Lepisosteus oculatus: one gene and its partner. The main gene of each other region encodes a partner of the protein of the gene in region 2 in a complex. Links are inferred from orthologs where the notes say so. Each region holds a gene or a part of one and is shown on either strand. Other genes may lie near its edges. The genes, in order: ykt6 and rabggtb.

The links.
Region 1: the proteins of rabggtb (region 2) and ykt6 are in contact, whole or in part, in a crystal structure (PDB 6J7F), measured with the Homo sapiens proteins. The link is inferred for Lepisosteus oculatus from reciprocal best matches to the Homo sapiens genes RABGGTB and YKT6. Residues at the interface, in NP_004573.2 of Homo sapiens: Thr3, Pro4, Gln5, Lys6, Asp7, Ile9, Lys11, Tyr37, Leu45, Trp52, Leu236, Asp238, Cys240, Arg281, Gly283, Asp284, Met285, Asp287, Phe289, His290; in NP_006546.1 of Homo sapiens: Lys60, Gln62, Asp63, Leu65, Asn83, Glu84, Tyr85, Pro86, Ser87, Leu153, Asn155, Thr156, Glu158, Arg189, Lys190, Cys194, Cys195.

What each region holds. Positions count from the first base shown.
Region 1 is NC_090697.1:70,414,097-70,421,343, forward strand, and holds the start of ykt6 (synaptobrevin homolog YKT6), read right to left. Parts: upstream 3,272-7,247; 5' UTR 3,030-3,271; intron 2,028-3,029; 5' UTR 1,988-2,027; coding exon 1,884-1,987; intron 1-1,883. UniProt on the Homo sapiens protein: Vesicular soluble NSF attachment protein receptor (v-SNARE) mediating vesicle docking and fusion to a specific acceptor cellular compartment. Functions in endoplasmic reticulum to Golgi transport; as part of a SNARE complex composed of GOSR1, GOSR2 and STX5.
Region 2 is NC_090704.1:4,133,867-4,141,172, forward strand, and holds the start of rabggtb (geranylgeranyl transferase type-2 subunit beta), read right to left. Parts: upstream 3,142-7,306; 5' UTR 3,127-3,141; coding exon 3,049-3,126; intron 2,543-3,048; coding exon 2,435-2,542; intron 1,884-2,434; coding exon 1,686-1,883; intron 1,191-1,685; coding exon 1,085-1,190; intron 444-1,084; coding exon 391-443; intron 265-390; coding exon 154-264; intron 1-153. Other genes in the region: acadm (medium-chain specific acyl-CoA dehydrogenase, mitochondrial), read right to left, coding at 6,347-6,418. UniProt on the Homo sapiens protein: Catalyzes the transfer of a geranylgeranyl moiety from geranylgeranyl diphosphate to both cysteines of Rab proteins with the C-terminal sequence -XXCC, -XCXC and -CCXX, such as RAB1A, RAB3A, RAB5A and RAB7A.

The DNA of each region.
Region 1 (7,247 bases), on a different chromosome or scaffold from region 2:
ATTTATGTGCTGGCACACATCCAGGATTGGCTACAAGTACTTACGAAAGGCCAGAATGAAATCAAGCCAGCATGACATTTATTGAAATGTCTAAAAATCAGAGAGAGCTCTCTGTTACAGTAAAGATTTGGATATAAGATGCTGTAATGAGCAAGGGTTATTACACACTTTTGCTCTCTGAAATCTGTTATGAGCCATTTAAAATAAAACAAACTTCCTTAAGCCATTTGTAAGTCAAGGACAGTTTCAGTATAACACTTGAAATAACTTGGTTATAACAATTACAAACAATTCTTAGAAATGTGTTACCCATTGCATAGGTATACAAAAAAATGATTTGATATGTTCTCCCAAAACCACATTCTTCCTAGAGTAATTCTCAAGATAGCACTTCTGCATGTGGCCTTTTTAAACTTTCCAATAAATGTGATTGTTTAAGATACATTTGCAAATCTGTGGTTGTGTACTGTTTTATCAGTAGTTCAAGTCATTAATCCCACAATCTTTGCTTTGCAAAGGTCATCTTTGAGAATTGCTGTTAAACTATAGCCATAAAATAAACTATTGCAAAATCAAATTCTAAACACCAAATAATAAATCAGAAAACGAAATATGAAGCAAAATCAGAAGGAAAGAAGGAAACTTATTTTGTTTACTTCGTGCTGACTAATTTAGGCTTCTGCTGACTGTCAGTACCCTTATGTTGTTCCCACATAATCTACAACACTATTAGCTTGGTTCTTCTCACCCACCAAATCCCTTTCAAGAATCAGTCACATTCAAGTTTAGCTCCGTTTCATGAAAATAAAACTAAAAATTATTTTTCTCTTCAGTCAGTAGTTTGTAACTTGTTATTGCTTAAGAAATTGAGAAAGTGTTTGCTAGCTGAAACGTAGATGCTAAATCACAACAGAACAACTATGAAATTAAGATTTCAGACTGTTGAGTATTTTACGCATCAAACCAAGCCAGGATTAACATACACACAGACACATAATTATCTCTAGGTTGTTCAGTATGAAAATGAACTCATGCCTTTCTTAGATATTTTTTACATATAGAAATCGCAGACTGCTCGAGTGTATGACTGTTTTTGTTGAGTGACAACACGTGTCTGCTAATGTGTGATGTGTGAAACAGCTGTTGAAGCTGAAGCTGTGGGATTCTCACTCAGCTTCGTTTCCATAGAAACCAAGCAATGAGTTGGATTAAGTGCAAAACCTTAACCCCTTAAGGGTTTTTTTTTATTCAATGCCCTACAGTGTCAGAAATTTCAAACCATACCCGCTGGTCCACATTTGCTGTACACAAATCTTTTGCTGCTACAACACAAATAAAGAATGTGATTAATCTTGCATTACATTCTGAATGGATATTATGTTTTTTTTCTGCCTTATTTCCTGTTCAATGCTAAACTGTGCAGTTACAAACAATATGTAGGAATGTCCTACCCATTACATAAGCATACAAAAAAACTGATTTCATATGTTCTCCCAGAATCACATTCTTCCTAGACTAATTCTCAAGATAGGATTTTTGCATGTGGCCTTTTTAAATTCACCAATAAAATTGATTGCTTAAGATAAAATTGCAAAACTATTGGGCTTGAACTCATTTAAAATTATTTTAATTGGAAGGGTCCAATTGCTTTAGACCCTTCAAGTGAAACCGTCGATTTCCCTGAACCAGGAATTACAAGAACCTGGCTCCAGAAGAGAAACTCACATTATATCTTGGCCTGTGACTCTCTGTCAGTTTACACTGACAACATGAGTGAGACAGAGGTCACATGGTTTGGAAGGACATATTCACAGTAACTGGACTGCCAATTTTTTCATTCAATCACTACAGCAAAACGCCGCTGGGAAAAGGCACGAACTTACCTGGACCTCTGGAAGAAGCTGAAGGAGGATAAATCATAGGCACCTTTGAGCAGGTTGGCTTTGGTTGCCCCTTTATAGAGGACACTCAGGCTGTAAAGCTTCATTATGACTCACACTTGGAATCACCTGGGCGTCCCAGAAGCTCTGAAACACACCGAGACACAGCAAACCAGTACAGAGCAGCACGTCTTCCCTCACTGACCAGTAATCCCCACCACCACCAGAAAGACTACGTTTCCTTCATCTGGAGAGCAACAGTCTATTTCAGCCAAGAAGACCAAACATAAAAGAGTCACAATACTCCCATAGATGTACATTCTTTTTAAATATATTGTAAACAATCATAGTAAAACAAAGTTGCAATGACACTAAAGAGGTGCTGCTTGTCGGCCACACCAGTGAAATATCAATGTCAATTTCATGGGAAGTTTTTTTCTTTGCTGCAAGGCACGCCATGAGCTGATTGGGAAAGTCCTTTCAGAAAAGCGAACTTCTTAATCCGAATGCACTGATACTGACCACTTATTTACCGTGAACTACGGTGTTGTGTTGTATTGAGAGTGGTATTCATCACTGCTTTTCACTGAAAGATGTAATCAATTTTTTTTACAATTATTGTTTTACCGGTGATGTCGCAGTCGGACTGTTACGCTTCCAGGCTGCTCACGAAACGTCACCTTTCCTGACTTAAAACAAGCGTATGAGATGCTGCAGGTATTTGCTCTTTGCACCAGCTGTCCTTGTGGTATTAAACGGCAAATGCAAAAGACAAAATAGCCACGGACTTTCTCACAAATAAAACGATTACGTCTCCCAACATTTTCCTGACCAATAACGTCCAATTTAAATTATCATTACATTACGTTAAATGGCAAAAGTTCAAGGATATGAAATGGGGCTGTTATTTCCGTGTTACCAGAGTCTCGTGTTTTAGATTTACTCTCAACAATACTTATTAACGGCATCGACTTACTACTGAACACACTCAGTTGGTCTTGATCAAGCGGCGATATAAGTATATATTCATAGGGAATACTTAATACTGCCACTATTTAATCATCTTATTGTCTCCGATTTAATCTCGGGCATCTGTTTCTCCCTATTAACACTACTGTTTTGGGGAAGGATTAGTTTAGTTCCTCTTACCAATTACTCTGTTGCTTCTCTTCAGACGATTAGAGACCACTCGTATTATAGCTCCAACAGCCACGTCAAGGCAGAAATGTGTCGATTCCTCTACTGAAGGTATGGAGGAAAAAGAAAAATAGCACTGAACGTAATGACGAATCCGAACTGTAAAGCTACCCTCCGAAAGGAGACTGAGATCCAGACAACACCGAAAGAAACTCCCTTTCTCTTTCTTCCCCCGAACCACGTCACTCAACTCCGGCGGAATTAGGTCCTACCTTCAAACACCCCCGGCGTGCAACACGAGCCTCTCATGATCCGTGCCTAGAGTTAAGTGGGTCTGCACCTCAGGGAAGACGCATCAATTTTCAGGACCCTTCGAAAATGAACGTTATGCTTTGCTTTTACAAAAGTAATTTCTTCTTATAATACCTAATATGTACATCTGAAAGAAATGATTTTACTTCAACGAGAACTGGCCTTGGGAATCGTATTTTCGTTTTGAATGTTGCAAAACACTGGATTTTATAGGGAGTTTTACAAATAAAGTATTCGCTTTGTTGCGCCTGTCCATCCATTATAAATTTCGACTTAAAATAAAGTCATACAAGCAATTCCGAATTAAACTCGTTGTAGAATATCGGAATGTATTATGATGTGAAATAATTCTGAAATTATAATTGGACTCGTTTGGAAAAATTGAATATTGACAATTAACCCTCTTTATTGAGAAAGCTTTGTAACACGCCTGTTGTCCTTTCATATTTGAGCTTTCCCTTTCTTAAAACAAAATAATAAAACAGAATGGCTTATTTTTCCAGTGCAAGCAAATACCGAGTGCTATGTCACTAGATGGCGCTGTATCGTAAAGAATCGTAAAGATTTGTGACACTTCTTAATTCGGCTCACCAGGGATAACAGGAAACATTGCAACATTTGTGAAAATCGAGAATATTTCCCAGATAGTTCAAACATGCACAACGTTTTTAAAGATTTGCAGAATATTTTTTTATTTACTAAGTCTATCTGAAAATGTACTTGTTTGATTTGATCAAACTCGAAAGACTGCAGTACGTTAATAACTCAATCACGTTTTCTGATCATAGTTTGATGTCAACAGCTTTAGCAGATTTTACCATAATGTCGGTGTCCTAGTGTGACCAAAGGTTGTTGTTTATCAATAGGTTCGTTCATACACGTTCCGATTCATTTTTAGTCAATAGATTAATATGTCAGAAAATCTGCTTGTGACTTTTAGAATTGAGAATGTGTTTAGTGAATTTTAATAGGCTTATGTTATGTATTATCCTAAATTAGGTTTCCTTGTTCATCCTCTGTAGAATATGGGGAAAACACGTGATATAAGCAGCAGGGTTTTTATGTAGAAGCGGGAGGATCTTAGAGTTGTTTTTAATAATAATAATAATAATAATAATTGCTTACACTTATATAGCGCTTTTCTGGACACTCCACTCAAAGCGCTTTACAGGTAATGGGGTCTCCCCTCCACCACCACCAATGTGCAGCATCCACCTGGATGATGCGACGGCAGCCATAGTGCGCCAGAACGCTCACCACACATCAGCTATCAGTGGGGAGGAGAGCAGAGTAATGTAGCCAATTCATAGAGGGGGATTATTAGGAGGCCATGATGGGGTAAAGGCCAGGGGGGAAATTTGGCCAGGACACCGGGGTTACACCCCTACTCTTTTCGAAAAGCGCCCTGGGATTTTTAATGACCACAGAGAGTCAGGACCTCGGTTTTACGTCTCATCCGAAGGACGGCGCCTGTTTACAGTATAGTGTCCCCGTCACTATACCGGGGCATTAGCACCCACATGGACCGCAGGGTGAGTGCCCCCTGCTGGCCCCACTAACACCTCTTCCAGCAGAAACCTTAGTTTTTCCCAGGAGGTCTCCCATCCAGGTACTGACCAGGCTCACACCTGCTTAGCTTCAGTGGGTTGCCAGTTGTGAGTTGCAGGGTGATATGGCTGCTGGATTTTTGATCTTATCTCCGAATTGCTCCGCTGATGACGAGTATTCAGGGTCTGGCCGTGTAGAAATCAACTTTTTGACAAAGCTGCAGTTCCTCCTCTCACTTCTCCCACCCAATCCCAGAGCCTAATACCTCTGCCAGCTTTTGCGATGCCCAAAATTGCCGGAGCGAAATGATCTCAGCCTTTCGCTGTATTGATCGCTCCGTGTCCTTTACTGATGAACAGTCAAGCTTGAGTGGGAGCCACGCAATTGAGGACTTTGCAGCTAAGCCAATGTTTTCCTAAGTAATTTTGCCCCATTTAACAATTTCCTACTGTCCACTCGCTTCATTGATAAGTGTTTTCCATACCAGAGGTGAGCATATATGGAGAGATTTCCAGGGCAACGGATTCAGAATGTTGTCGCCAAGGCAACGGGAAGGATGACTGCTCTGTAAAGCACCTGGTGGTTGTGGCAGCAATGGCAGTGCGAGTGCTTTTAGTAGAGACCAATAGGGTCGTTTTTTATTTCTCGATTGCCAGGGAAACAGAATGAAGAACCGGGGAAACGGGAGGGATGATGGATAACCGTGTCCTGTCTGCGCGCTTTCTGACCAATTAAAATCAAATCAATGCAAGTACGTCCCTCTTGGGACTTATAAAATTAGGGTGGAAATATATTGCTAATTTAAACAAGAAGAACTTAAAGATAGAGTAATATGCCACGTGAAAGGATTCTAAGAATTGTTAAATTGATCACCCGTGTTTAAAGCGCGCAACTATCACGGGACTAAAATGATCAATGCTCGCTTTCTTTTCGTTTAGATTTTTAATAATACATCTTAGTTCAATTTGATTTTTTTTAATATTTCCTTGAAAATCTTAGGGTGAAAATAAACGATGTCGAGTTGGAGTTGAATTGTTGGTGTTTTTGCACTCTGGAGAGAGATGCCAAGTTGTCTTGGTTAAATTAAAATTTTTTAAAAAAACTTTTTGAAATATTCTGCTACCACGATGAAGCCCAATGTCTCGACTGGCACGAGTATGGAATGCGATTAAAATGATCTTTGAGAGGCAACGGAAAGGATGACTTTTACTCAGACGACAACTTCCCGTCCCGTATTTAAGACACTGGGGTCTTGAATTTAAACTTGCGCTTTCAAGGTGTTGTAGAGCGCAGTTCTAATACTGTAGGAAACTTTTTGCTTTACAAAACACTAAGATGCTTACGCACCACATACAGTATAAAAGAACAGAAGTGCTTTGAACATGGACACTAAAACTAATCCTTAAAGAAAGGCTCACTTTTCTGAGAAGCTTGGAAGGGTACAAATTGGTGAAAGTACTTAGGGTTGGTGAACATGAATAAACACATGGATATTCCCGCTGTTGTACTGTATCACTTCCAACTCAGCGAAGCCTTATACAAAATGCAAGGTGAATTTGCCCATCTTGGCAGATAGACTAAGGAGGAAGGGTAGTTTTCGGAAGCAGGGATAAACAGGTAATCAACATTTTCTAAAAAAAACTGGGGGAAATGTAATAATAGACTATCGTGACAAACGGAAATTGGAGCTCTGATTAAACTCCATGTCCATATCCCTCCTTACAAAAACAGCTTTAATTATGAGCCTTTTGGTGTAGTTATTTTCGGGGAAGGTATCCATCTGTCAACGGCACCCAGCCTCATTGTTCACCCGGAGTGGTCGCCCGACTAGACGCAAGCGAGCCCCTGGACAGTAGCACTCATGACCGGTGGGGGAAGTACGATGGATCCTCATATTATGGAGAAGGTAAGATTAAATCAGTCTTCCCCTTGAATTGCTTGTTATTTCAAAATATTTAGCCTGATAACGGCGATTAACTGATACGCCCAATGAGAGGGTATATAAATCCCTGACGTCACCTTCCGAAGTTCCTATTTTGTAAAACAGCCCAAAACGTAATTACCTTCACTTAGTATATTTCTTAATTAACTTCAATTACCTTCACTTAGAGTGTTTCCTCATAACTGCTTAAGAGTACATTTATATATGTTTGTTTCCCGCTTTAAACTTTGTTGATCCTCAAAATGTGATTTTAATCATAAACCAACTTCTTGGGTTGTTCAGCAGCATTGTACCTTTGCTGGGTGAGAACAGGTTATCAGATTATGATCATGTCATCAGCAAATTTTATTGCTGTAGTTATTTGTGAATAATAACCAATTTAACGTTGCCGACTAAATAAAAAAGACACTGTAAAAAACACTTGTGGA
Region 2 (7,306 bases):
TCGAACCAGTGACACACCCATTCCTATACAACAGAAAAGCACGTGTTAAACAGCAATGGGGGTCATGGCTAAACTTTACATACTGAAACACAAACGCTAAGGCGTGCAATAATATACTTATTTAGTAGGACAAAGGTTTTTCTAAAAACCTACCTGCCCTGCATGAGATTCTGAGCCCGGTCTACAGCCAAATCCTCCATCGAAATTCATGCAGAAAAGGACAAACTCCACTGCCTTGTCTACGTTAATGGTGTCCAGCTTGCCCTGAAAGACCAGTCATTCGCACTGAACGCTAAGCCAGAGGCACAGAGTAAAAAATGGCAGAATTAGAGCTAACAAACACCATCGTCTCATAAACAGACACTATGAAGTTTGTAAAGATGCTCTTACCAGCAAAGCCAGGGTTGCCACTGCACAGAAGGAAAACCTCGTATCTATCTCACCTAGAACAAAACAAGGACACAAATGTAACTAGAGACTCGATGTTCTTAACAGGAACCATCGAAATCACACAGGCTCTCATTGCAATGTTACGAGAGACAGCTCTGATCGGGGCTGTCCTGATCCCGAAGGGCTGGTGCACCTGCGGGTTTAAAAAGCCGGGCCCGAAGACCTCGGAGAAGCTGCTAAAGTCCTGGTTAAGCCAGTAACCAGCTGTGTCGGCTCTTCAGGATCTGAGCTGGACTAGAAACCTACAGGCACACTAGCCCTCCAGGACCAGGACTGGACACCGCTGTCTGAGATGAATGACAAATGTCACAAGCTGAGTAAAACGAGAGGGTAACAAACACTAGACATATATAATGCATTAATAATGAAGATTTAAATTGGATAATTACAGGAAGGGATAACTTAGCATATATAGGCTTTTTCATCTGACTTTTATACAAATAAACATTTCTCACAAGTCTGCTAGTGCTAGAGAAGAGGACTTTTTTGCTGTCAGCAGAGGGAAACAGGTAGTTCAGCATACAAATAATTCCACTGCTTTAATGTGCTGAAGTATAAAACATTTTAAGAAACACTTGGACTATCGACTAGCAGCACACATTCAAATAAATGACACCTAAAACAATCCACTCACCCCATTTGTCCCCAGCAAAAGATCCATCCTCCTGTTGTAACCCTTTCACGTATTCAACCACTTTATCCACATCGATCACAGAGAGACTATCATACAGAGAGAGAATCTGAAAAACACCAGAAAAACGGTGAACACAGAAATCCAAGATACGCAAATGCGACAATTAGCTATTTTGAAATAAAAGGGGAATATCTCTTTCTTTGAGTGTAAGACTTAAAAACTCACAAGATAAATTTAAAATATTAGGTTAAATTAACCTCTCATAGAAAACAGGTGAAGAGATTAAACGTGTTTGACTGGAAGACTGACACTATTTCAACAGCCTGTCTACACCAGGTTTATGCCAGGAACTGTTTTTTCTAGACACAAAGCAGCAATGAGAATCACACCATTTGGTCTTTTAATTTTTCATATTAAAGAGAGAAAGAGATGGGCACTATCATGCTTCAAGGTAGAAAACAGATTTCATCTAAGCTTTTTTAAAAAGAAATTGTTAGGCACACAGCAAGTTGGTCACCAAATGCACTTATCAAAATGAATCTCGAATCGGTTGGTTAAACCTAGAGGGGAAAAAAAACAACAACCTCTTTAAGAGTTGTACCTGAACAGCACTGAGAGTATAGAGCAGGTGAGGGTCATGTCCTATACTGGCACTGATTCCTCCACTCTCATGCTGGCACTGCTTGACAAATTCTATAATCTCGTCCTCGTTCATCCGATGCAGCTGCCCCATCAGATCCATTACCGTCAGACCCCAGTAGATGCCGCTCATGCGCAGGTATTCCGACAGGGTGTACTCCTGGTGGAGACGGGAGAGATCCGAAACAACAACACAAAAATCAACACTGAAAAAGCGACCAGGAGGTCTTTAATAAATGCCACCTCCTAGGTATCCACTTTTGCGGATGACCAGTGAGAGTAAAAAGCGTTATCATCTGTTCTCATTTCTGGAAGGACAAACATACGGATTTACGGAAAAAGAAGTCAGTTTCACTCACTAAATCACAAGCTTAGCCGCCGTTTGGGTTGGACTCACCAAGACTGAGAAAACACTGGAAGGGTTTCAGAGAGGTATGGCTGTTTTAGAGGGTTTCTAAACTTTTTGCCCTTCTTTAAAAGACGATACACTCTTTCAAAAACAAAAACGCAATTTCAGCTTCTGATGATTTGCTGTAATAAACCACTGCCTCTTAAATCATGAAGAGCTAGATTCATTCCTGCTGTTAAAGCAGCACCTGAAAATGCTACTCGCTTAAATGCTTCTGTGTTTTAAAGTACAGATCTAATTACTGGATCATGAAGGAAAGAGTAAAAGAAAGTGTGCCCTTTGTCACTTGTGCAGATACATACATAGTCGTCCTTCTTGGTACCATAAGCTGCGATATAGTCTGCATGTTTGTCCAACAGAAGCACACTTGGAGCATCAGGCTTTATAACGACATCTTTAACTTGAGTGCCCTGGAATAACGCAGAGGATTAGTAAAGGGAACCCACAGACATTTTCAAACAAAGAGCGATTTTTAAAACAATATACAGTAATGTGCATTTTTTAGGAACATGTCATTATTTTTATTGTATTGTAATTATTACATGTAAAGCAAGTATTAATTTACTACAGAAATCAGATAAGCTTACTTTACAAGGAACTATGTGTGTGGACTTTACAGTTTCTCTTTTATAAGAAGAAAACCTTCTGGACTTAAATACTACACAATTCTCCTTATTTAGTGAAAAAAAAATCATTTTTAATTTCTTAATTTTTATTTCCTTCAAATGAACTATATTTGAGGGACACTGAAGGATAAAATGAGTCAATAAACATATTACAATTATTTAGGATTTAAAATTGCAATGGCTTACCTTAATGATACATAAATAACTACTGAGGTGATGGGGGGTTATTGCATTTTTATACAAGAAAAATGTACATTTCTGTGAATGACTATAGATACACACTGACTGACCTGATTAGGAACACAACAAGTTTGTGCACAGTCATTTCCTAGAGAAACAAAAATATTGGCACAACACAGATGATACATCGTTTTGTTCTTGTGAGCAATCAGCTCCTAATCTTTAAATTAAATAGTTACAATGAAATGACACATCTCTTCATATTTTTATAACTTTTTTTTTAGACAACCTACAAGTACTGGAAACAAACACACCCTTACATGCGGTTTTTGACATGTTTGATCATGTGTTTGGAACACCCCATGACAAGTGCCACTTAAATCCTTAACCGTCTTTTACAGGATGGGGATATTACGTGGGATGGAACTGAATGCACTGATTTAACGCGTTACTCGATTAATTCCACTGAGAAATCAGACTGAAGCGGTTTAAGGTCACAAGGTATTGTTCATCAACACTAAAACTGTCCAAAAACAAACAGTTACATGTGGAATTAGACAGACGGACAAAGTGACATGCCCCCCCAAGACACTGCACTGAGCATCAAAATAAGTATTATTTACAACTGCGATAAATTCGCAATGGTATCGGAAAAAAACCCACAGAAAAAGACAGCCTTTTCTGCAGCACGTACACGTTTATATGAACACATATGAAAATGTCCACTGGCTAAGCCGAATACTGACTGGTGTTGCTCTAACTTTTCAACATGTTTTTTTTGTTCAGATTGTTAGACGGACCAACTGTCAGAAAACGGTTTTTGTTGTAGCACAATTCCCGATGCTCACCGCTTAAATTATCCATTACGTATCCCTAAACCACTCCTCTAAAAACATACTTAACGTACGAGTTTTTAATCTCCTAAAACGATGTCTTACGACCAATAATGCGGAACATCGAAATACACCAAACGTCCTGTATGACAAAGGGAAAAGATTCAACGTCTAGTTACGCATCACTCCAGATGCCATTAAATTCCGACAGGGATATGTTTGCGGACAAGCACATTAGCTTCTGTTAAATGACAGATGTTATTCTATTTTTTAATGCAGTCAAAGCGTTACCAGGTTAAGAAACGGCTCACATTCGCGATTAGCTGTCAGGCATTTAAACCTTTATAAAATTGCAGGATTTAAATTCATTTCTATTCACGGTCTAACAGCTTTTTGCTCTGGGACATGTCACTTCTATTTGCAGTGTGCTTAAAACGTGTACAGAACGGTAGGTAGACATTATTATTTCATATGACAAATGCCTCTGTTTCATCCTTGAAATATACACATATACATATAAGAAAACAAAATATGTAGACCGATGAACAGCACCTACCATTCTTGGGTGATGTCCCTGAATCGCGTCCCACAATAACTACGTCATAAAACAAAGCCTGCCCAAATCTTCGCCGGAGGAGGGTGGTAATTATATAAGTTTTCTGTTTAAAGAAATCCTCGCTCTATAAAAAGATTAATGAATACAGAAATTACGACTACTACTGAGTTTCACAGTTCACATGTGTGACAGCACAGTCTGAAGCAATTTAATCGTCAAATACAGTATTTGGAAACTGCTTATTTGCATCCGCCATCTTGGCTCTGTAAAACGCCTTTAGATACCAACTTATCTGTCGCCACATATCTACACATTAAACTCAAATCGAAACTTCCCACGTGTGTGTCTACTGTTAAGCGCGATCACAGTACAAACTGCTTTTCCCAGTTGGCATTTTTCTCAGAAAAATTCTGAAAGGGCAGTTGTAGTTCAATTAGAAGTTCCTCATGTGCTCGTTGTGCCTTTTGGCTTGGGGTTTGCAGAGAGACAAAGTACTAAAACAGCCTTTGTTAAGGTAATTAATGATTTTCTGATAACATTCAGATCTACCAGGAGACCAAATCAAATACCACTGTGCTTTCTGCACTTCACAGGTGTCTCTATGATGTTCAGATATGGGTGCAACAGAACTATTCTGGGCTTGACTGTGTCAAGACTGAGTTTAGGCTCATATGATCCCAACATCTCTGCAACAACTAAAAGTATTCTGCATCAGCACCTAAATCCTGTACCACATAAATTGCATTGTCTATATGTGGAATTTAGTGTGAACAAAAAGGTTCTCATGCTCATATATAGGGCACTGAAATATCTTTTAAGTGTTGGTTAAATGAGCAAACTATTACTCTTTAGAATATACCTTACAAACAAGGGAAGGCCGGACTAGCCAATGTGGAGACGTAATCTCAATAGATCTGATGATTCGGGGTGTCTACAGTATGTCTGCTGAAGACCAAGCTGTAAGCAAAGGGCAACAGAGTCATCGTGGAGGACGTGCTGCCCAAATGCATTACTCTTCAGCTGCTGACTTTTCTAGACCTCTCTTGCAGACCTGTCTGTTCACTACAGCTTTCAGCATGAAATTTAAAACTGAATCAGTTTGTTGTTCTTTTCCTCTTTACCTTTTCTTCTGGTATCTGTATTATATGTGCATTTGTACAGCTTGTTCTTGAATAAATAAAACATCATTATCACTCATTGAGCTCTCAGTTACACAGCTGTCGATCGACTATATAACTGTTAATAATTCTAACCGGGCTTGATGGTGTTTTATAGGTAACTGTGCTTCTACTGAGCTGCATTTCAGCACTCAGCCATGAAAGACTTTGAGCTGAGTTTAACACCACTGGCTTACAGCAGGAAATTTTTTCCAGGCTTCTCTCAGCCCAGTACTGACCAGATCCATCCTTGCTCAGGATCTGAGACGTGACAAAATCAGTCTCCTTTGTGGCAAAATTCAACCTAAGAAGTCTATTTTCTACAGAGCAAACAAATGCCATGAACTCAAACTTGCTCACTTAGCAAACAAAACATGCTACACTAGATTTGTACAATTTAGCGTTAATTTACACAACTAACAGTGGTGGAATTGAAACTATTTCCTTCGTGTTAGTAGGAACATTCCTCTGAGCATCAGCAATATCCTGTAGAATTGGTACAGTATCTACCCAAAGGCAAACAAACACACCCAGGACAATCCAGATGTGTGCTTCCCCATTAAAGATACATAAAAACATTGTAAAAAAAACCCAACCAGAAAACTTTAATATATAACATCCTTTTTATTTCAGCTTTGCAAAAATTAGTTCCCAAATGCAGCTCTTATCTTTGATAACAGTATATAAAGGCTTTTAAAGGCTTCAGGTTACCATTTTCTAAGGCTCACGTATTGTGTCATAGGCACCAATTTATTTAAAATATGGAAGGCAAAGAACGTACTTGCATTGATAGTCGTTGATACTCTACATACAGGACATAAAATTATAACAAAGGGAAGACTGTTACAGGAAAAAAGTGCAATCACTGTTTGTATTTTCCAATGTGTTCACGAGCAATGATCATCCTCTGGACCTGAGCTGTACCTTCATAGATCTGAAAAAGAAAATAATGTTGATTAAAATCTCTCACAATCAGTGAGCCAACATTTTTTATTAAAAAAAACAATCTGAAAAACGAATGTATATACATCAATGACACCACACATTTTAATCCCATGAACATTAGAAAGGTGGGTAAAAAGGAGAGGAGGCATTTGACCCATCTAGATTGTTTGGCTGTTAGTAGCCACAGATCTCATCCAGCAGTTTCTGGAAAGAAGTCAGGGTATTAGACATCAGCAACATGGCTGGGTATCGTGTTCAATCATCTCACAGCCCTTTGGGTAAAGGAGTGTCTCCTGTTATCAGTTTTAAATGCATTTCCACAGAACGCCTCTGGTTCACGATTCGCTGTTCACTCCGTAAATGTCCACTGGCTTGACTCTGCCAGGGTCTCTGAGGATTTTGAATACTTGTATCAGGTCCACATGTGACATTTTCTAGTAGAACTGAACTAAGAAGGTTCAGTTCCTCAGTCTGTCAGTGCAGGACATTCCCTGAGGTCCTGAATGCATCTGGTTGATCTTTGCTGGACTGAATCCAGAGCAGCAATATCTTTTCTATAACATGGTGACTGAAATTGGAAACATTATGGTAAATGAGGCCTACAGGGGGGTTATACTTTCATCATAACATCCGTAAAACCTTTGCTTTTAATTCACTTTGTTCCCTTTTTCAAAAGCTTCCCCACGTTGTCTAGAAGATGTAAATGTGTCAACATAAACATCTTACTCAGTGTTTCCCAGTTTGTATTTAGTGTTGCTACCTGCAGGTAAACCCTGCACTTATCTTAAAAGGTCATCTGCCAGGAATTTGTTAGACCAGACTTGAATTTTATTTAATTTTATACGCTGTACTTTACCGTTTGCTAAACTTCCCTTTT